3 linked regions of the Caenorhabditis elegans genome follow. The protein of the gene in region 2 interacts with the protein of the main gene of each other region in a pairwise test. Each region holds a gene or a part of one and is shown on either strand. Other genes may lie near its edges.

What was found. Proteins that work in one complex are often made in the same cells at the same time.
Region 1: the proteins of sdpn-1 (region 2) and grif-1 interact in a two-hybrid assay, tested with the Caenorhabditis elegans proteins (one large-scale study listed by BioGRID).
Region 3: the proteins of sdpn-1 (region 2) and nlp-15 interact in a two-hybrid assay, tested with the Caenorhabditis elegans proteins (one large-scale study listed by BioGRID).

The regions. Positions count from the first base shown.
Region 1 is NC_003279.8:1,975,372-1,983,912, forward strand, and holds grif-1 (RING-type domain-containing protein), read left to right. Parts: upstream 1-2,658; 5' UTR 2,659-2,680; coding exon 2,681-2,759; intron 2,760-3,148; coding exon 3,149-3,297; intron 3,298-4,087; coding exon 4,088-4,227; intron 4,228-5,994; coding exon 5,995-6,445; intron 6,446-7,809; coding exon 7,810-7,908; 3' UTR 7,909-8,041; downstream 8,042-8,541.
Region 2 is NC_003284.9:7,994,058-8,000,880, reverse strand, and holds the start of sdpn-1 (SH3 domain-containing protein), read left to right. Parts: upstream 1-2,785; coding exon 2,786-2,802; intron 2,803-6,271; exon of another isoform or gene 6,272-6,520; intron 6,521-6,823.
Region 3 is NC_003279.8:12,985,425-12,994,230, forward strand, and holds the start of nlp-15 (Neuropeptide-Like Protein), read left to right. Parts: upstream 1-2,806; 5' UTR 2,807-2,850; coding exon 2,851-2,910; intron 2,911-8,802; coding exon 8,803-8,806.

The sequences.
Region 1 (8,541 bases), on a different chromosome or scaffold from region 2:
GTAAACTATTCGTTCTTTAGCAAAAATAAAAAAAAAACTTTATTTAAATTTAAAAATAAATATCATATGTTATCACACCTTAGAATATCACGCCTTAATTTAGTAATCATTTTTAGTTCATAAGTGTGAGAGAAAGAAAAATGGATTAATCATCGGAATTAGATATCATCAGAGTGATTATATTCATCAAAGGTCCCACTTTACTGGAGATTTAATTTGGTTGATATAAAATTCCTATCTCATGTAAAGAAAGGTTCGAATTCTGTACCTATGAATACTGCCGATATTTGAATTCCTGTCTCATGGGAAGAAGGCCTTTCTTGTGGGAAGAACGGAGTTATAAAAAAATATACGCAGGTACAGAATTTGAACTTTTCCTCCCATGAGATAGGAATTTGAATATTGGCATTCTATAACTTCACTAAGAAAAAAAATCTCCAAAGGTTGATCGCAAATATGTAGAGATTGCTCGCATCCCTTCAAATATTACAAAATTTCCAAGTTTCTCAGTAATCTATAGTTTTCATTTAGATTACTGAAAAATATACACAGATTACTTTTGAGTCTGAGAAGTTATTGTAAAACGCAAAGCGAGCTCAAATGTATTTTGATAAAAGTGGCTATTTAGGCTTAAGCCGCGCCATACCGCCGGTGTGTCATAAGGATTTCCAATATTTTATTCCAGTTGGGCATCCTAGTTTTTTTTCCGGGCCCTTAGGCTTAAGTGTGTCATAAGGATTTCCTATATTTTATTCCAGTTGGGCATCCCAAGTCTAAATAGCTCTTTTTCTTTTCTTTTGCGCTCCAAGCGCAAGGAAAAACCTTCTTGTAACTTTTTAAGAGGGTTTCATATATTTTATTAAAATCGGGGCGAAGCCCTGATTTTAAATCCATATTGTTTTTTTTTGTCTTCCTCTATCCCTGCAAATAGGAAAGATAATGTGTTCTTTCTGATGAAGTAAAAATCATCATAAAATCTTGAAAACTGAGAGCAGGAGGTAATATTTGAATATATTGGGTCGTAAATGTGTGTCTCTCTGTGGGTGGGGTGGCGATGTGTTGGCAGCCCTTCAACGAACTGTATCTCCCGCCTGTATCTCCCTTCAAAGAGAGAATTGGGTTACAAAAATTTGAGGGGATATGAAAAAAGGTGTGAGAATTTCAAAAATATTATTGTTGAAACACCAGACCAAACCACTTTTTCTGGGCAAGAGGCAAAAAATTAATTTTTTGAAAAAATTTCAAACTGGCACAAAATTTTTTCAAAAATAAATTTTTCACAAATTGTTAGTAGATTTCATTTTTCATAAATATTGTTCATTGAACACAAAAAAGAAAACAAAGATTCATCAAAAAATGAGTGAAAAATCGCAAAAATTCGAAAAAATCAGTGCTGAAAAACTCGATTTTTTGGCGGTGCTGAAAAAAATTTTCACTAAAATTTTTTTGAAACTTAGTTTTTCGGATTTAGCGTCAAATTTTGAATCTATATAAAAAAACAAAATTGAAATTGATCTCAGATTGAGTGAATAATAAACGCTCAAAGTTGAAAAATGAACAACGCAAAAACGGCAGTAACTTGCTTCAAGGTCGGTTATCTCAGTGAGTTTTCACTCAATTTTCGAAATTTGTTTGCTCTATCGCTTTAGAAATATTTGTAATTTCATTTGTTTTCCTCAAAATCAAAATATCTCAAACGACCGCCATCCTACGAGAAGGGAAAAAAAAAGTTTTTGGAAAAAAAATCAAAAATTTTTTTTCTGCCTCGATTTTCAAAATGAAAAAATCACTTTTTCGGAATAATTTTTACTTTAAAATGTACCTACGATCTTTTTATACAACAATTTCACCTTGGAACCAAAGATTTTTGGAGGATACTCGAAAATACTCTTCATATCTCGGCTCAAAGAGCTCCAATCTTTCTGAAATAAAGCATACAGAGGTGGGGCAAGCTTCTTGAAGAGAGAGCAAAAAACCGCATCAAAATCCATCCACCCACCGTCAAGTTACACGCGCGTTTTCAGAGTGAACGAAAAACAGGGCATAAAAAAATTTAGACGCCCGCACCCGGACTCGAACTTTTTTCAGATTTACAAGCTTAATATCTCGGCTCCTGTAAATCGAAATTGGCTCAAAATTCTCAAGAAACCTTATCCTGCGTCCTTCCTGCTGTCATTAAATTTTCGTGAGCTTAGGGAGAAAACTGACAAAACGCCAAACTTTCAAATTTAAAAAAATAGTTGAGGGTCATTTTGTAAACACCTTAAGCTCCATAACTCGGCGAGTTTTGATGGAATCAATTTGAAATTTTACACGGAAGCTTCTTAGTGGCTTATACGTCTCTGTGTTAAATTTCGCTTTGATCGGCCAACGGGAACCCTTTGAAAAATGAAAAAAACGCTGTAATCCTAACCCTAAATGGCGAGCTAACGCTCGCCACTGACGCCAAGCCTAGGCCTAATCTCAATTTTAACTGTAAAAATAACAAAATTCCCTATTTTTCTGTCAAAATCGAATTTATCTAGGCTCGCAAATTTTTGATCTACCATCTCAGATGTTGATCTACTATCTACTTTTCGGCGCCAAATTTCCAATTTTGGGTGCAGAGACTCTGTTTCTTTGAGTTTTCCGTTCGATTTCCGCTCATTCCGTCTCCTATTCCTGTTCTCTGTGGACAAAAATGTACAGTTTCAAAAGCAGCACCGACGTGAAGACTTATATCAGCACCCCGTCGTGCCGGATATGTCTTGAGCCATTTGGTTAGTGAGTTTTTGTTGGCTTAACGGCTTTTTTCGTCAGTGTTTGGCTATTTTCTTGCAAATTTTTAGGTGTTTTATCGATTTTCACATTTTTAAATACTTAAAAAGCTTGATATTTGAGCGAAAAATCAAGAAAATTAAATTGCGAAATTTTTTAAATTTTTTAAATACCAACGACACTCCGATCTTACACCCGTGCGCGTTGTTTAGCGTAAATTTACAAAGCGAATTTTCAGTTGGTTTTCTCGAATTTTAATTGAAAATCTTGAAAATTAGTGAATTTTTCAGCGTTTTTATGGATTTTTCCCTTAGAATACAGGTTTCTTAACCGAAAACACAATTTTCCTCCAATTTTTTCATAAACATCTTTGAAAAAATCAATATTCCAGACGAAGGACAACATCTTCCGAAAATCCTGCAATGTGCCCACACGGTCTGCGAGAGATGCATCGGTTTGCTCGACGAGCAGAGCCGAATCAACCACAATCGGCCGCCGATCGACCGCTCGTTTGTGCACATTAGATGTCCAGTTTGCAGGGTATGTGTTATCAATTAATTAAAGGTGGACTCCGCTCAGTGCGGAAATTGCTTTAAAACACGCCTATGGGGTCACAATGACCGAATATCTTGATTTAAAAAATTCAAAAAAATTTTCTAGATTTTATATGATCTTTTGAAAATTGAAAAAATCTCAGTTTTTGCCTAATTCCTATTTGAATTTCCGCCAATTGGATTTTTTCGGTGGGGCGCACTTGCACGTTTAAAAATTTTTTTTTTTATTTATTCTTATTTTTCACCGATTTTTAATGTTTTCGGTGTATTTTTGCTTGAATTTTAGAGAAAAAGCCAAAATAAATGCAGATTTTCGATTAAAAAACACGATTACAGGCGTAAAAATGAGAAAGTAACGCTTTTAAACGATTTCGAACCTGAATTAATTAATTTCACTGATTTACGCCTGTCAGTGTGCTTTTTAATCGAAAATTTGCATTTATTTTGACTTTTTCTCTAAAATTCGAGCAAAAATACACCGAAAACATTAAAAATCGGTGGAAAATAAGAATAAATAAAATAATTAAATTTTAAAACGTGCAAGTGCCCCAACGAACAAATCCAATTGGCGGAAATTCAAATAGGAATTATGCAAAAACTGAGATTTTTTCAATTTTCAAAAAATCATATAAAATCAGGAAAATTTATTTGAATTTTTTAATCATGATATTCGGTCATTATGACCCCATAGACGTGTTTTAAAGCAATTTCTCCACTGGCGCTACTCCACCTTGAAGATTAAAATAAAATTTTTAATGAATTTTGCTGAATTTCAGGCAGTCACCCAGACTCCACGCAACTACATTCGATCCAACTACCAGCTAATCGAATTGATGGATTCGATGCGTGGAGAAGCCGATCATAATATTTCATTCCTCGCGTGTGTCGGCTGTAATGGCGTTTATCACGAGAAAGAGTGCGTTGGAAACTCACGGCCTCACGGCTCACGCGGCACCTCACGAACTCCAGAATTTGCGGGAATTTGTTTAGCGCGGGACAGCAGTTTTTTGTTATTTTTGGCTTCTACGGAAATTATTTTTGATTTTTTGATCTATAATATTCTTGAGAAGCATCCTTCGAATTGAAAATGTGAAAAATTATGAAATTTGAGCGAAAACTGAAGGTTTTACAGTAAGGAGTTCTATACTTTTCTTTAAAAATGCATCAATACCGCCAGTTTTTTGATTTCAGAGTCGTAAAGTATGCCATTTTGTAGAGAAAAGTCTGTTTCACAAAAATCCATGTTTGAAAATTGAAAATTGTTTTTATTAAAACCTGAAAAATCAAAAAAAAAAAAAAGATTTTAATGTAAAATTGTTGATTTTTTGAATATTTTTATATTATAAATTGAATAATCAGAATTTCAAACATGGATTTTTGTGAAACAGACTTTTCTCTACAAAATGACATACTTTACTTACTTACTTAGGATACTTAGTCGATCCGTTCTTCGCCTGCGGCGCGGATCACAGCTTTCCAAGCTTTTCGGTCCTTTGCTTGGGTGGACCATAGTTGTTTGACTTGCCCGAAGGCGTCTCGCGTAGTGACTTCTTTTCTTAAAGAGTCATTCCATCTCATCGGTGGGCGTCCAACGGGTCGTTTCTCGTCTCGGGGGCACCAATCGTTCATCAGAGTTGTCCATCGGCCATCCGTTCGTCTCGCCACGTGTCCAGCCCATCCAAGTTTCCTCTTTTTTATGTGTATTAGTGGATCTCTGAGTTTTGACTTTTCTCGAACTTCTTCGCGATGAATGTTTCGTTCGCGTTGTTCTGTCAAGGTGAGTCCAACTAACTTTCGTTCGAGGGCTGCATGGGTTACTCTGACTCTTTCCACTAGCTCTTTTGTGAAAGTCCAAGCTTCAGAGCCGTAGGTCAGGGCTGGGAGAACCGTAGAGTCGAAGAGATTTGCACGGAGGCGTGGGCAGGTGATCTGGTCCGTGGTGCTTTTGATGTTGGTAAAAGCTGCCCACGCAGCTCTTCGTCTTCTGTGAAGCTCAAGCTTTTTTGATTTTTTGATCTATAATATTCTTGAGAAGCATCCTCCGAATTGAAAATGTGTAAAATTATGAAATTTGAGCGAAAACTGAAGGTTTTACAGTAAGGAGTTCTACACTTTTCTTTAAAAATGTATCAGTACCGTCAGTTTTTCGATTTCAGAGTCGTATGTCATTTTGTAGAGAAAAGTCTGTTTCACAAAAATCCATGTTTGAAATTTTGAAATTGTTTTTATTAAAACCTGGAAAATCGAAAAAAAGAAAAAAGATTTTAATGTAAAATTGTTGATTTTTTGAATATTTTTATATTATAAATTGAATAATCAGAATTTCAAACATGGATTTTTGTGAAACAGACTTTTCTCTACAAAATGACATACTTTACGACTCTGAAATCAAAAAACTGGCGGTATTGATGCATTTTTAAAGAAAAGTGTAGAACTCCTTTCTGTAAAACCTCCAGTTTTCGGTCAAATTTCATAATTTTATACATTTTCAATTCGGATAATGCTTCTCAAGAATATTATAAATCAAAAAATCAAAAAAAATTTTCATAGAAGCCAAAAATAGCAAAAAAACTGCTGTCCCCGCGCGAAACGAATTCCCGCAAATTCTGGAGTTCGTGAGGTGCCGCGCGCGAGCCGTGAAACTGTGAAAATTCAGATTTTAATTAATTTCCCCAATTTTCAGCACCAATATTTGCACTACATGCTCCCCAATCATCAAGGATGCTCATCCCACTGAACTCATCGAGCAAGGAGTAATTCTGAATCAGTACGCGTTGTGTTCGACGTGTCTCCTCAGAGATCACATCAAAAAGAACCACGTGTCGATCAGTCTGCAGCCTCTTCGCGTCGAAATGCAACGCCAGGAGAATCAGCGGCGGATAGTCGGCTTGCAGGACAATTTGCACAAAGTGCAACGCGATTTTCGTGAGCAGCTTAACGCGACTATGGAGCGATGGGCCGGATGGAATGGGAGCCACGATTTGTCGATGGATAAATTCCGTGAGCTTGGTGATACGTACAATCAGAAGAAGGTTTATGATGCGTTCGTGCATCAGCTGAGAGGCAAGACCGCTAAGATTGAGAAGCTCGCCGAGCACGTTTTGCGATGGAATGATGAGCTGGACAGGGAGATGGTGCGTTGAAGATCGGGGCCGCTTTTTCAATTTTTTTGAAAATACAAAAACTAAACTTTTTATTCCGAAAATTTAAATTCTGAAATTTCGAAAACCTTTAAAGGTGGTGTAGTCGAATTTTTTTATTATTTTTTTAAAATTTTATTAGACTCAAAATTGTCTGAAAACACCGAATTTTATAATGAAACTTCTTGAAAACTCCAACTTCTCAAAAAAAAACTTCTGACGGCTCGAAAAATGTCCTAAAATTAGTTAAAATTTGAAATTTGACCGACTTGCAAAAATTTTTAATCAATTTTAATATGTAAAGCCTAAGTGATTTTTTGCCAGAAAAAAAAATCTGGAATTTACAGTTTTTGAAATAAAAATTTTCAACAAAAACTAATAATTTGTCGGAGAAACATTTGAATATCAGTTTTTTTTTGTCAACTCTAATTTTTATAATTAGTTTTAAAATTTAAAATTGAGAAAATTATTCGCATTTTTTGCTCAAATTTTGTATTTTTAAAATAGTTTTTTTTCTTTCAAATTCTACTCCAAATATACTCAACATTTTGGTAATTTTTTAAGAAATTTTATGGAATTTTTCGAAATAAAAACAATTATTAAAAATTTCAACTAAAATCTAATTTTCAGTACGAATTTTAGAAAAAAAATTGAAACTTATAAAAAAAATTTTCTAAAAACTAAAAATTTCGCCTTTTGGTTTTTTTTTCAAAAATATTTGGAAAAATTAACAAAGTTTTATTAAAAGTGGTGTAGTCGAATTTACTAAATTACTTAATTAGATTCGAAATTGTCTGAAAACACTGAATTTTATAATGAAACTTCTTGAAAACTTCTCAAAAAAAAGTTATGACGGCTCAAAAAATGGCCTAAAATTAGTTAAAATTTGAAATTTGACCGACTTGTCAAGCGGTTGGAAACTAACTTTTTTTTTGAAATTACCGTCAAATTTTGAGTATAAAATATAATTATCTTGCATTTTCAACTAGATTTAGGTATTTTAAAGTCGATGGACGGCGAGATTTTTATATTTTTAAACCAAAAACGGCGAGATTCGAGTTGAAAACGCAAGATAATTAAATTGTATACTCAAAATTTGACGGTGACTTCAAAAAAAAAAAATAGTTTCCAGCCGCTTGACAAGTCGGTCAAATTTCAAATTTTAACTAATTTTAGGCCATTTTTTGAGCCGTCATAACTTTTTTTTGAGAAGTTTTCAAAAAGTTTCATTATGAAATTCGGTAGTTTTCAGACAATTTTGAGTCTAATGAAGCAATCCGAAATATTCTTTAAATCATTCTTTTTGGGATATTAAGAAAACTTCATCCTTTTCCCCTAATAAAATAAAAATTTTCCAGGAAAGACCACCAGCTCATCGTTTGCCACGTAGCTCAACTCCAGCGCCAGCACCACCATTCGACAACTCCGTCGCCTACTATTTTGAGCACCAATTTTGAGCTTTTATATTTTTTTTTCTCATCCCACCACCACATTAAAACAGAGTTTTTATATATACAGTACCCATTATTCGAACACAATTTGTTCTAAAAGAGCCCCCAAGAATCAGATTTAATAAAGAATGCTCTCACCAATTACATTTTATTGCAAAGAAAAGTATGAACATTTACAGGAAATGCGAAAGAAAATGCGGAAGTGAAATTGAGATCGTCTAAGACTCATAAAAATAAAGTCGACGAAAAAGGCCTTGTAGGCAGGTAGATAGGCATTTTCGTGCCTACGAAGAAGGGGGAGGATCAGAAAATCTATGTTTAACTTTTCAAATACTATTGAAAAGTGCCATAAGTGCCATAATTATTAAAAATCCAAATTTTTGAAAATACTCCAGAAAATTTTGAACATGGTGCAACGTGACCAAAATAACAAAGTGTGCAATAAATATGGCCCGTTTTTGCCACTTTTTAATAGTTTTTGATGGGTTAAACCTAGATTTTCTGAATTCAGCATATATGAATTACCCGTTTTCAACAAATTTAGCCGATGTTTTATTTTTGCCCAAATCGTTTTTTCAGCCATCTAATGACTGTCCTTTTTTTGGGCAAAAAAAGATTATTCTGAAATTGAACGAAACT
Region 2 (6,823 bases):
AAATAACAAATAAGAGAGCCAAATGCAGAAAGAAGAAAGCAACTGCTCCACTTTTCATCAAATTTCACTGCTGTTTCAATTTTCTTGAGAATAGAAACAACAAAAAAAAGGGACGGCTTAGAGCAAATGGACCAACACGAAAATGGCTTGAGGCTATTTAAAACAAGAAACATGAGACAAATTATGGTAATTATGTGAGAAAAAAGGAAGGAAAACAAAGAGAACAACATAAAACTACATTAGACTGAAAAATGCTCAACTGAGTAGAATAAACAGTTAACAAGAAGAAGGTAAATGTTATCAATCTGGAAATTACGATTTCAAACCAAACCTTGCATTCCAAGGTGTACACAGTCTTCGATAGAATGCAGAGCAATGTACAAATGGATTATCGGTCACTTTTCTTGCATCGAAAGTTGCTGAAATGGAAATCCAATGGGAGCACCAGCAATTTCCCGACTTCTGAAAAACTTCAAACATTTTAAACTCTTTTTAAACAAAACTTTACTGGGCGTATTTCAAGTTGCATAAATTGAAAAATGTACGTCCAAAATCATAGACTGAGCTACAACTTTTTAAATCTGTCCAATTACCAATTTTTGTTTGGTAATGTTCATTTCAAAATTTTAATTTTTAAATGAAAACGCTATGATTTGTTTTAATTTCTTGAGTGTAAGAAAAACAATATGTCGAAATTACCAAAACATTTTAAAAATTTGTGGTCATAATTCACAAGTGCCTATTCTTTTACAAAAAACCAAATATAAAATATTTCTTACAGCAGCATAGCTATTTGTAAATTGTTGCAACTTCTAACTTCTTTCAAAAAAAAAAACGTTCAAGTTCAATCAAAAACCCTATTTTTCATTGCCAGAAAACATTTCAAGAACTATTTCTAATATCTAGTTTTTCCTCCAGTTTTTTTTTCAGTTTGAAACCAACTTTCAATTTTAAATTGGTCGATGGAAGTCTGAAGATGGTAACTACTCACCCAAAAAACCTAAATCGTCACACCATTACAATCGTTTAGCAGACGCCTTCTTTCAGATGTTATCTCGAAAAAAAAGACTAGTACAGTACAAATGGGAAAAAGAGAATCTTCAGATTTTCAGGAGTGCGTTCTTTAACCTATTATCTAATTAAATTTCTGTGAAAGTTGATCAACATAAAAACCAAACAATCTGAGTTTGCTCAGGTTTTTTGCTTTTTCTGCTGTAATACAAATATTTATGCTGACACAACTCATGATGAATCACGAAAAAATTGTCTTTACATTGCAGATTAGGCACTTCCTTCAAAATAAACTGGCTAAAAACTACAATTCCAGTTTAAGATACGAATTTCAAAAAAAAAAGTGCAGAAAGTATTATAAACAAAATTCCATTCAGCAAAGAAAACGCTTGCATGTTGCGGCGTTGTTAAACAAAAATATTAGGATAAGTTCTTTACAAAGTATCATTTTTCAAATGCAGTCAAATTTGCCAGATCACCTAAATGTTTTCTCACTTGATTATATATTCCCTTGCCCAACACCACCGCATTGTATTGTTCTATTGAACCTTCTTAGATGATCAATTGTTCATCGGAACGTGTTGATCTTCAGTTGTACCAACTGTAATCCGTACCAACGTGCAAACGCTGATCCCATGTAAAAACAGTTACCTCGTGCTTATGACCGTTCTCTTTGTTTCTGTCACTCTTTTCTGCCGAAAACGTGGAGAGGGTGTTGCGTTCTTTTCGAAAGAGCTCGTCATGCTCCAGCACATAAACTGCTCTTGAGCTCATATTTATACAGTCGTGCTCTTTCACTCCACTCTCCTATATCTCTGCGTCTTATTATTGTCCTTCACCCTCTATCCGTCCATCATTATCGTCATCATCATCATCACCCATGTTTTCGTCTTCTATAATTGCCTGCTACCTATGTCCTCGGGGGGGGGGGGGGGGGGGTGAAGGAAAAAGGAAGCAAAGTCATTGGCATCTCAGCTGCCAAGTGGTAACAAAGTGAGGATAGGAATTCAATCCAGCATATTGAAAATGTCTAGTTTTCACCTCTTTTTGCATCTTTTTTTTCTTACCGTTCGCCCTCTTCCAATGCCATCGCCATGTATCGTGTTTCCGTGAGTAGTCTGCGTTTCACAATTACTCATCCGTCACAAAAAAGGCATTCGCGTTTCCACCTGGAAGCTCTTAGATACTTCAAACACTTTGCTTCCGAAAACCATTGACTTTCACTTCACTTTCCTTTCATTGAAACTATCAAAAGTGAATTACGAATAATAAGGAGAGTACCATTTGATTGTGCTGGATATCCTCCTAAGTCTTGATCTTGCTGAAAGTGATTCACAGATAGAAAGTGGCTTGAAATTTCTATGAATACTTCTAATATATGTTTAACGCTGTGCAACTTTGAGACTTTTCTTAGGAACCGTTAATTTTTATGTTTTCTAAATTTAATTTATTTTAAAACAATGTTTCCAGCAAACTCAAAACTATCAGTACTTTCAAAACTCCTCCCTTTTAAAGCTATTTTTCCAATTCTCTGTATTTTTTTTTAAAGTCCATGTATATTTGTTAGTTGAACAACCGCTCAAACAATATTGCCCCACACCTTTGAGTTTGCCCGCCAACACACACTTTCTCACTCGCCTAATCAGTTATTGACAGTGTACATTTAAAGACTTTTTGATCACGTTTCTCACTCTTTCCCAACTATTTTCTCTTGACTTCCCGTGTTCTGTTGCTCCATTCGTCTATTTCACTCGAATCGTCGATCTATTAAAACATGAGCTGTTTACCATGGTGAGTAGATTTTGCCTGTTAATGTTTCTGTTAATCAAAAATATTAATTGTGTTTTTACTTTCAATAAGTATCCGAATAATATTGAATTTTTAATCAAACACATACGTTTTTTTTCACAAGAAATCTATCATAAAAAAATGTTTCGAGTAAACCTACCTAAAAGCAAGGGTGAAGATTTTCGAAATTCCCCATATACATAGTTGACTGTCAGAATTTTCGGCAGTTTTCAACCTCAGTCATATTTCAAACAGTTTAACATTTAACCTTGACATAATTGTTCATTTTTAAAGTTCCGTCAAATACCTATCAATTCAAGACACATCAAGCTTGAAAAGCGAATATTTTACTACAAAATACGTTTATACGTTTTGAAATCTCCAGAAATGTTCAGACATTGCTGTTTTAAAATCTTTTCGCCAATTGACAAAACTTCGATTGCCGCATTTGTAATTGTCAGAAATATCTCACCTCGAAAATTACCTATGTCTATTAAAAAAAACAACCAAGTAAGATGCTACTCAAGGCAAGTTACGAATGTTTTAAAAGCCCTCAGAATTTGCAATTTTTTGCTTGCAAGCTTAAGTTTACAGCAGTACTAGTTTGTAATTTTTCTTCCTATAGACTCTTCCTATGATGTTTTTAACTTTTTTTTTCGACTTGTTCATCAACCTGACTACATTTTAATTGATGCAATTCCATATCAATCATGAAAAAACAAGTATTAACGGATCATCTTGTTGCTTAGGATAATATCAACAGGCAAGAAAGCAAACTAACATAATAAACCATCGAATCTGTGCACCAGCTGGCAGTTCACCTCTCATCACGGTGTAGCTATTTCGCCTACGTCTCGTACTCTCTAACCATTTCCACCACCCATTTCTCCACCATCACCATTCAACATTTTCAAACCATGCCCCGCTACTTGGCGCCTATTGATTTATGATACTCGTTTATGTTCCATTTTGAAATTTCTCATTTTCATTTGAAAACATGTTAGATATGTGACTCACTAGCAATGCCTGTTTGAGCCGCACGTGTTTTGCAAATTAGGCAAACGAACCACTAAGAATACATAAGAAGCGAATATCCTTTACATGTCCACTTGGCATCCCTTCGCTCAATCAACTTCTATTCATTTCTTGTTTCTAAGTCCTTCCGAACGGAGTAGTACTCACAATTAAGGTAATCACAACCCTGTTATCCACTATTGTCGTATGTGTTTCTATTTTGAGATTTTTCCCACAGAAATGAATAGCTTTACAAAGTTGCTAATTAGAAGTAAGTAATTTGAGTCGTGTTTTATGCGATTAACATCATATTTCGAGAAGTACGCGAAAATTTATATATTTGTTTAGTTTGAAACTACACGTAATTTTTGTTTTTGAAAGTTGTGTTTCGTTCTTGTTTAAAAAAAGTGTTATATCTATAAAAATTAGATTTTAGTTTTTAATTTTTAAATTGAAAATTTTTAAGACTCCCTATTCCTTGTAAAAATGTTAAGGAAAAAAGCGTTTTTTTTCACAAATTCATATTTATACATTTTTTTGAGAATTAGTCGTTGTCAGAATTTTAAATTATAGTTTTTTTCTTTTTTTTTTTAAATATCTGTTGTAGATTTTTTGCATTTTATTTCCCTAAGAACTTAATCCTCCTTACACCGTACATAGCCAAAAACCAGCAAGTCCTAATTAATCATTCTCAAAGCTGAGAAATTAAAATTTTAAAAACTATATTTCGCCAGTAATTTTTATGAAAAAAGCCATGAATGCATGTTTGAAACGCTTTGAGTTTAAAACGGGAACATTTTTTGATAAAACATTGCTTCAAAATCCGTAGATCTTCAAAAACCACTTTTTTTGTTGGAAATTTTTACTTTTAGGAATTCTCGTTAACCCTGAACAGTGTTTTCTTTTATTGTTCACAGTCATCATGTAGACTGTTCGAATTTAAAGTTAGCTCAATGTTTTAAATGACACTAATAATAACTTGTTTTGTTTACAAAAAAATGTTATATTTACAAGAAAAAAAACAAACAACATTGACTACGTTCCAACTGCCCAACTCCTGATAATGATGTCACTGTCACCAGAATTCCCATAATAATTCATATCAGTACTCTCTTCCTGGCGGGGCACTTTTATCTTCCCTGGAACCTTGAAAACCGGTTAATTTCATTTAAATCATTCATTTCGGTTGGATTAGATGAAGCTTCCTCTTTTTCTTCTGCTTAAGGAGTGAAACAGAATCCCATACGACTTTTTCATCGTTTCTTCATCACATCCACCTTCTGTTTCACTGTTAGTCTCACCTCACCTTCTCCACTTCTCACACCTTTTTACGATGTTCTATTAGAACATTGTGTATGCGATTGAGTGAGTGTGTATCTGTATATGTATGACCTATGCAAATTCTTTATCCGTTCGCAAAATCTGCGTTTATTAATACAGCGTGCACTTTTTCAAGAAAGTAACCGAAGAAATTGACGAAAAAGGAGAGATCGGGCTGCCTATTTCGAGGACAACACATTCCTTCCATATTCTTCCGTAAAATGTTCAGACACTGGTCCCCTTCTAACTAAAACTAGGTCTTCATATCTATCAAATAAGTTGCGTTAGAATGGAATCTGATTCTGGTCGCTTTAACTTGTACATATTTTCCGATAGTGTTGGTCTTTCAAGTGTATGCCATTAGTAACTTGTTAGGCAATCTTCTAGGACATTGGTCAAAAAGTCCGTTGTTCAATTACGTTAAGCAACGGATGAATACATGTTTTTGTTTTTATTCGGTTTTCACTCACTCTTTTCACCAATCAGCTGTCAAGGTTTCATATTCCTGTATGGAATTTTGAATTCAAATTTTGATTCCCTGTTTTTCAAAATCAAAACAAATACTTTTTTTCAAATTTCGCCATAGGGTGCTATACTTAATTTTGTGTTCTAGAATTGTATTCTTGTAAAAATAACAAATATTTCCCGTATGTCAAAACTGTCTCACTACATTATATTTTTGTGTCAGTTTTGGGAATTATTTTAGGTCAAAAATTCAAAAAAAAAGAAAACGACAAATGTAGTGCACATTCAGATGTTTTCTACATATAAATAAACAATTTAAAAACAATTTCTGTTTTTCCCGAAGTTCAATTTTCCCTACCTACAGTTTTAGTTATATTTCAGTCTTTGGTTGTATTGTTTTTTTTCTTCCAAAGTCGTTCCATATGCATTTCTCAGCCACATGTCCCACCAACACAAACACCGGTGTTGGCTCCTGTTTCTGTTAAAGCCTTCGTGTAATCCTTCTCATACAGTCACCTCAGCGAGCGGACTCTGCTTTGCTTGTAAGCCGGCAGCGCCCAAATGTATCTGTCTCTAGTTCCACCTATTCTGTTTTGGTTGCTCTTCCTCTCTCGTTGCGGGCTCATGGATTGCCTCAAAAATTCGTTTCTCATCCTCCGATTCTTGCATTTGGCCGACGTGTTTCTGGCTGTCCCATTGTTTTTAAAACTGTATGTCGTCTTCCATGTCCTGCAAACAAATCGTGTTTACAGTCTCGCAAGATGCTCGTCCTTCCCACCGCTGCCGCTCTGGCTTGCCCGAATGAACTTTTCCTCTTTTTTTGCATGTGCGGTCTGTTCGTTTGTTCAACTCATTGTCATCTCTATTTCCTTTTTCTGTTTTTGGAAGCTCAATTCGCGCAAAAGTGCTCTTTCCGCTAAAAAAACACAACCGCTGGTCAGCGAGAAGATTGAACAATTAACACAATGTGCGAAGTCCTCTGAGAAATCGTCTTGTTTTCCTTTTTTCCCTAAAAAAATTTCCGTGTTCATTTCATTTCCATTTTCATTTCCAGACTTTGTCACAAATCTTTTTATATATTCATACGTTTTAATTGGCGTGTATTATGTGTAGTCAAAAATAGTGATTGGTAAATTGAATGACGTAGTTTCTATTGAAATTAAAGAATGTTCGAAGTAATACAGTAGTCCCCAAGATTGAAAATGAACCATATCTAGTCAAAATA
Region 3 (8,806 bases), on a different chromosome or scaffold from region 2:
TCAATAGTTTTAGTCAAAATTGTACTGTCATATTTTTGACGTGTGCGGCAAATTTTGAAATTTGCCGAGCTCTGCAAATTCGGCAAATCTACTTTTTTGAAATTTGCCGTGCTCGGCAAACGGCAAATTCGGCAAATTTGCCGCACACCCCTGGTTGGTAGTGTTATCATTGGTCAACGAAAAGTAGTTTCTATGTAATAGGATTTTCAACTAGATTTCTAGTTTATAGTGTGAAATATAAACTGTAGTTTCATGCAGGCACCAAAATAAAAGCCGCGCCCGCCTTGCGGCGACATCCGACTGCCTCGCGCCGCGATCCGCGCCTTCCATAAATATATTGCGAGGTGGAACCCGAACAGTGTCAGCAGCGGTGGAAGAACCACCTTTCTTCGCACTATGTGGTGTAAACACCAAGCCTGTGACTTCTCGCCATAGTGTAGGGCCCTGCCTCCCTTGGAAGTCCTAGTAAACTGACAACACTTTTTGCTCTTTTTCAACTTCCAGGTTTTTAACTTCTATAAAAATTCTTTCGAATTTTCTCAAACCTAAAGGTATCGAAATTAGTTGAAAGTCTAAATATATACATTTTATGATCAAGTACCCACTTATCTTCCTCTAAAAATCTTGACGACGTGGAATAATAAACAATGGGAATGCCAATTTGGTATTTGATATAGGTATGAATGACGTTATTTGTCGATAGGGTGAAGATCGTTCCTACCGAACTGTGAAGCTAAAATACTACAAACTACAACATTTCCTGAACCTCAACCAAAGTTTCAGAACGCATCGGCCACCTGGTCAAGTACATACCAGGGGTATGTGGCATTTTTTCGGCAAACGCTGCAAACTTGCTTATTACAATATGGTGCTCCAACTTTTTGATCTAAAATTGATATCAAATGTAAAAAACGGGTTGTTTTATCTGAAAATTGCATTTATTTTTGTTGTAAAGCTTGGAAAAGTTGTCAAATCATGCCTGAAAGGTGACGTTAGCAAAAAAGTGCCGTTAAAAGTTTTTTTGGCAAACTGCAACTTTCAGGACTTTTCAAGCCTTCCAGTTTTATACACTCCTATATCAACATTAGATCGAAAAAGTTGGATAATCATGTTGTAATAAGTCAGTTAGTGTGTTTGCCGAAAAAATGCCGCCGAGCCCTGGTACATACCTAGTTAGCATTATAATTCTTTATATATTTTTTCAGGCCATGTTATTAGGTTTTATATCTTAAAACCAAATAGTAACTGATAAACAATGTAGCTTGTATTATTACCCAGAAAATAAAAAGGGGTATCAACTCGATTTCTGTTCTGAGTCCAGTTCCACTTTCATATTTACCATACTCTATTTTTCAGTACGTCTCGCATTTTATACCCCCCGAACTGGTGGGTGGATTTTCGAGGCTTCTTTTCTGAAAATGAATTTGTCGCTCTTTGGTGAAATTTGTGTTCATCGTAGAGTGAATACAAAACAAAAAGAAATATGTAGTTCTTCTTGGAAAATATAGAAAATGGAAGATTTTTTGTATATTTGATTTGTGGCACAACATTAAAATATGAAAGAAAAATGTCGAACTTTGTGAATTTTGTGGATATTTAATGCCACGTGGCATTACTTCAACGCCTACATTTTTCTTCTTCTCAGAGTGACGTGTAATGTCAGTAGTGATCCCAGTTGCCCCCTGGGGACCACTATTTTTACACCCACTTACACCACTGCTTTTACGAATTGTTGAGAAATAGAAAAAAAAAGAGAAAGAGTTGGAATACACTTAAAAAAGGTTTCTCGGGACGAAAAAAATTGAAACGGATAGGGCGAGGCATTAAAAAAAAGTAGTGGGTAGACTGGAAAAGTGCACTGAATTTCAGTGTCGGGCTGGGTGAGGCTAATCGACTACAAACTATAAAAAAGCCCTAGAGCCCTAGACTACAAACTACAAGTTTCTCTAGCCTCACCCAACGAACTATTCCGAGCTCTGACGTAAAACTATGATCAGACAGCGGTAACTGACCGATTTTTGATACAAGATCGTGATCGTGAGAAATGAAATATTTATAAAAGAATTTCAAAATTTGGTTTCTTATTTTTCGAAAAAATTGAAAAAAGTGGTGATCCATTGAAACAACACCCATTTATCATCCGGCACGCCTTTGGACCTTGAGCCGAAAAATTTTTTTTTTCTGAGTTTGAGGCTTAAAGAATTGTGTAGTTCGTAGTCTGCATGAATCTATTCTTGTAGTTTGTGGTTGTGAATTTTTGGCTAAAGCTATAAGTTGTGTAGTTTGTACATTTTGGGTGAGGCTAGAGAAACTTGCAGTTTGTAGTTTCAAATTTTGGGTGAGGCTGAATAAGTTTGTTCTGTCGAAGTCAAGAAAATTGTAGCTTGTAGTTTGTAGTGTATCTAATCATGTTAAGGTTGCTTGTAGTCTTCACATTTTGATCTACGCTGACAACCTTACAGTTAGTAGTTATCGACTTTGATTGATGCTAAGGGTCTTGTAGTTTGTAGTTTCCTAACGTGGGGAGGCTGAAAAACGTTGTAGTTTGTATATTCTTAGCCTCTGCAAATGTGCCAAATTCTCCAATTTCTCATGTTATCTGAACCTTCGAACTTGAGAAAAATCTTCACTTCTAATAACCACTTACGTCACCACTTCAACTCACACACACTTCCAACACCGCATTTTCCAGAAAAATCTTAACTATTCCAATTACAACACCACATAAGCTCCACCCTCCTCACCCGCCGATGCACCGATAAGCCCCGCCTCCGCTGTGCTCCGTGAGCCATCGGACGGAGACCTCATTTCTTTTCTTCTCTTCTTTCACGAAAGAGACACAACATAACGATGCCGTCGTCGTCGTCGTCGTCGTCGTTTTTTGCTGCCGTTTTGCTCGTTATTGTCATGGTGAGTTGGATTGAGAATAATATTAATAATGATGAGGACAGTGATCATAGTGATGATGTGGCAAAGGGACTACAAACTACGAACAATCTGAGCCTTGAGTTCCCATTCTTGACAACAACTCCCATATAGGTGTTTAACAAAATAATGATCATAAACTACAGTTGGATCGATGCACCATGTTTAAAAACTATATTTGCATCTTTCGCAAGCTTTGTAGGATATATGTAGATGCCTACAAAGTATGATGGTCTACTTTTAACGTATAGAAACTAAATTCAATATTACTATGTTTGTCCTAATTATAGCCACTGTTAAATTATTTGTATCCTTACTCACGTTAGACTTTTTACTTATAATTTTGAAGATACCTACAACCTGCCAAGCTTGGAAAGGGTGCAAAACTAGTTTTTAGACATGGTGCATCGATCTACCTCAATGCAGTTTAAAAATGAATAGATTGTCTTTATTGTCATTTAATGTTATACATATCTATAAAACTTTCTCATTTGGAATTCAAATCAGAACGGAAGTGTTCTTCCCGCAACCCCTAACTTTCAAAGTTATATTTCAGGGGAATCTAGTAATCTAGAAACTAATCAAAGAAATTTTCTGCTGCTAACCCTTCTGCTGCCAACTATCATACCAGCTCATTTTTTCCAGAAAATGCAGAAAACCGAAAATCGAACAAAAAACACATACATTTTCTTTTCACATCTTTTCGCTAATTCCTTTTCTGAAGAGTCACTAACGATTCGTTCCTGGTCCTAATTAGGTCTGTTTTTCTTTTTCGTTTTCCCTCTAGTGAGGGTGGTGTTAACCACTTGTCTAGTCGTCTGGAAGAATAGTTTGGGGTACGGGGAACTATGAAGATCGTAACTAACTCTTGAATTTGGAATTATATTGGTTAAAACCGTAAGTTTCAAGTGGACATGTTAATTGCAGTTTACCATATTGAAAATAGTCGTTAGTTGGAAATTGCAATTAAGGAATCAACTTTATACTATCATTTACTTGGTTGATGTTTAAAAATAGTTGTACTTTGTAGTCTCAGCTCCTATTACTTTCTGCAATCCGTTTTCGTAATCCAAAGGAAAAAGTTATCCCCATTACCGCCTAAGGCTATCTGGGTGGAGGAACTTGTCTAGGAAATATATGACCTCAAAAGTTAATGTGATTCTCCAGCGGTATATATTTTGGGACACATCTATATATACTCGCAGACAAGAAGAACACATCCTACGTGGCCGTGGGTGGAGAAAACTCGGCCACCAATTTGTTAGGTCACAAATGATGCTTTGCAATTAATGAGACGGATTTTGAACACTAATCAGTTGGGGCGGAGTGTCTATAAACTATACAATTTATTGTTGAATATATTTGGCCATTTTGATAAACTATGTAGAAACTACAACGCTTTTATGGTCCGAAAATCTTTTTTCAAATTCCCCCGCTTCCGCCACGTCACAATAACCATATCTAGTTGGTCAATAAACAAAGAGCAACAAATAAACCAAAAATTTTGCGGAAAAACGAAAAACAATTTGTCTTGGACTCTGACCTTTTTGCTCAAAATCTTGAAAGATTTCTCATGGGACCCAGAAGCTTAGAAGTTGATTTTAGAATGAGATAACTGAGGAAAGTGAAATATTGAAGAAATTGCGGCAATTTTTTTGGAAATTGAAAATTGAAGGTTTTGGGATTTGGAAAAAGATTTATTTTTTTAAACTTATAGCAACTAGTAATGTTGGCCAATTTAACAGTATTAGAAAAAAATTGAGAAACTTCACAAAAAAAATCTGGAAAATTCGGGGAGAAATTGAAGTTTGGCTTGTTTGCTGGTCTAAATTTTTTTTTCAAATAAATTTTTTTGCGTTGAAGAAATGCCATCAATTATTTGATACTAATTTTGTAATGATAATTTTAAAAAATCTTACAATTCTAAAAACTTCAAAACTAAAAATTTCAGAAATTTTAATTTTTAATTTTTGAATACTTGAAAAAAAAAGTTGAAAAAATCAATTTAAAAAAATTAACTAAACTATTTTTCTTAAATAAAAAAGTGCCGAAGATCTGTTCAATATAGACATATTAAACATAATATCACGCTGAAAATTAGAAAAAAAAACCAAATTTCTACTAAAAAATTTCGAAAAAAATTGTGATTTTAAAAATTTTTCCTCAATTTTTAAGACAATTTTCGACTAAATGCAAGTACCTATTTCCACCTACAAACCATAAATATTCCCACAATTAACCCCTTTTCCATGAGAATATTGTCTTTTTTTCAGCTGTTTTTTCTTCATTTCATTTCCCCATTTCCCAAATGTTTTTCAGCTATTCATCAATTTCTTTTCTCCGAGAAAAAAAAAAACAAAAAAAGCGTCAAGAATCAAAAAAGGTTTTAGCGAAAAATCTGTGAAAAAGGGAAATTACTTCCGTGTTATTTGAATATGAAATGGGCAATAAATTTTGAAAAATAAATTGGTTGAGGCTCGGTGAACACTTGTAGTTTGTAGTCTAAACCGCAACCAACGTGTGGTTAATTGGATAATTGGAATACATTTATTTGTAGTTTGTAGTCTTCAATTTTCAATTTTATCTCAATTTATCAAATTTTAGGTTTTTTTCAATTTCCGAGTTTCCCGAATTTTTAAATTTACTATTAAAAAACTGATAAATAGAGAAATTTTGAGTTAGTTGTTGTCGAAAATATAGGATTTTGAATTTAGAAAATTTTCAAAAAAATTTTTTTTTCAATATCTTAATACTTTAAGCTTTTTCAAAATAATTTTTCAATTTTAAAAAATATTTAAAAAATCAAAAAATTTAATTTTCAAAAAACTTTTTTTTGTTAAATTTAAAAAAATTTCTCAATTTTCAGCTCCTAGGCCTGTACTTCATACAAATTTTGTCCTAACTATAAGTGAAAATTGTCAACAAAAATTAATATAGTTTGAGGTCTATATGCCAAAATTCCCATTTTTAAGCTTCTGATTTTTTCACTTGCAACGAGAAAATGAAAAAGTTGCATCTCTTTTTCTGAAAATGACATACATATATATTTTTGCAAGTATGACGTTCCTTATACACATAATTCAATTTTTCATCACATCCCAGCCCTCCTGAAAATCCGATTTTTGTCACGTTTCCCACCATTTTTTTTTGATTTTTCGTGGCGGGACCCGAATGACGTCAGATATTTTAAATGACACGTATCGGAGCACAATAATCAAATATAGATCAAAGAAATATGTGTGTGTATGTGTGCTCAATGACAAATAGCCTGAAATTCTCCGATTTCGCTCCGATATTTGAGGCTGCTTGCCGGTGAGCTGAAAGACGGGGGAGGTGTCGGTTTTTTTAAGGGATTTTAGGTCATTAGGAAGGGAGAGATGTTAGAAATAACATTAATATAGGATTTTAGGTTTCAGAAATTGAACAAAAACTTATTCGAGGAAAATATAATTTTTTTAAAAAATTTCCGAAAAAATGTTTTTTGACGATTTTTTTTGGAATTTTTTTTTTGAATACTTCCTCTTAAAATTACATTTTTAGTTGTGTAACGTTAAAATTTATGTTATTTTGGATTTTCAGTCTCTGGAAATTAACCTTTTCAACCTTAAAAAAAAAACGTTTACAAAAATGTTCAAATTCAGAACTTTCGAAAAAAACACTTTTTTTTTCTACATTTTTTTTGCATTTAAATTAAAAAAAAAACACAACGATGGCTCGGATGTTAAAAATAATTTTAATTTAGGGTTAGAGTCTGAAAATTTGAAAAAAAATTTTTAAGATAAAATTTTATTTCGAAAAGTAGTTTGAGAATTTTTTCAAATTAATTATTTCCAAGACCATATTTTAGAAAATCGTTATCCAAATTTCACCATTAATTTTCAATGAAAATTTATAGAAAAGCGCTTTCGAATATTGTTAAAGTTAAATGTTTTTTCCGCCTTTTTCAAAATTTAATTTCTTCCAAGGTTCATCAACTATTTTCCAATTTATGTGGGAACTTTTTAATAAATGTTCCAATAAACCGAGATTTGTCGGATTTCATTAATCACTAATTAGTCAAAGTGGGTGAGGCTAAGGGAGACAAACTATAAGTTTTGTTAGCCTTAATTGTTTTCAGTCAATAATATTAGACGTTCTCTGAATTTAAATAAGATCTGAGATGTCTACTGTATTTATGGGGAACAGAGAAAACAAAATTTTCTCCCGACGACAAACTGTAAAACTGCTTTGCCTGAACGTACTATAGTTGTTATGCTGATGGCTTCGGTCTGTGGATAGAACATATTTGTAGTTTTTGAACTTCTGATTTTTTGGAAAATTTTAATTTTGAATTTTGAATTCCACATGTCTTATTAACCCTCACTACACAAATCTCACCCTTGGAGTACTGTAACCAGCGATAAATCGGTGGCCGAGTTTTTCTCCATTCTCGTCCAAAAACCTTTTTCCATTTTCTGACGACTACTCATTATCATAAATAATTAATTGCAACTCGTTCGTTTTCCATGCGCCACAGCCACATCAGCAGAACCCAAAAAACACTAATGCATTTCGTTTTTCTACTGATTAAAATTTCAAAAGGAGGGAATGAATGAAAAGGAACGGAGAGTAATATGTTTTTTTTTGTTTCTTGTGCAAAATGAGTGGGCTGTGGTGGTGGTGATCAAACTTCAATAATATATATGTTATGTGGGAAAGAGGGTAAGGGATTGTATTATTACTAATGTTAGTTAAATTATAGTGATACTCAAGGACCCTTATTTCTAAGAAGAGGAGGAATGGATGTATATAAGTTACTTAGAATCGTAGTAAGTATTTTTCAAAAATTCTATGATGCCACGTGGTATCAGAGCGTCTCATCTCAGTTTGATCTACGTAGATCTACAAAAAATGCGGGAGAAGAGACACTGATTTCGCATGGTTAAGGACGTGCATACGTCACAGTTGTTTGGGCAAAAACATTCGCGCATTTTTTGTAGATCAAACCGTAATGGGACAGCCTGGCACCACGTGTGGTTCCAAAAAACGGCAAAGACGGCAAAGTTTAGTTAACAACGTGAAACCCCTGTTAGTTAGCGGCGGACACTGTGCGTTTATGAATTTCCCCACATTCACGATTACCTATTTTGACAAATTTAGTATTCAACAAAAAAGGGATTAAAAAACGTATTGAAATAAATAAATATATAAAATATATAGCGAAACTTTTTATATATTAACAGAATTCACATTTAACAGTTGAAGACAAAAATATCAAACTTATAGTTTCGAGTGTCCGTCCCCGAACCCCTAAACATTTTTTTGTTAGTAGTCCTAACTTGTTTTCCAGTCCTATATTTCGTACCATAAAATTTATGCCGTGTCTTATGTCCTCCTAACATCCTGACATTTCTCGGAACTTCCTCAACATCTAATCCTCTTCAATCACTGAAGTAAATACTATTTAATCCACCTCTCTTCTTGTCAAGACCCAAGTTTGTGAGTCCTCCTTCCCAAAAAATAAAAAAACAAAATGTATCACATCTCGTGTCCAATGACGCGAAATAAAACGGGGAAGCGAAGAAGTGCGTCAAACGAAATTTTCCAATTACAAAGTGCCAACAAACTCGCCAGGCATCATGATGACATAGACATAAACATGTGTAGGGGGGCCCCTCGTTGATATTGGGATGGCTAGGGGGGTCCTGGTGGAGGGTGAAAGGGAGACACTACAAACTACAGAACTGTGTTAGCTGAGCACTATTTGAATTCAAGACATATAATTCTGTAATACTGCATCAATAGTATACTAACTTAGTTTTTTCTACATTATATAATTTAGGCAAAACTAGTTATTTTATTAACATTTAAAAAGGTTCAAATAGTTTTTAATTCCAGATGT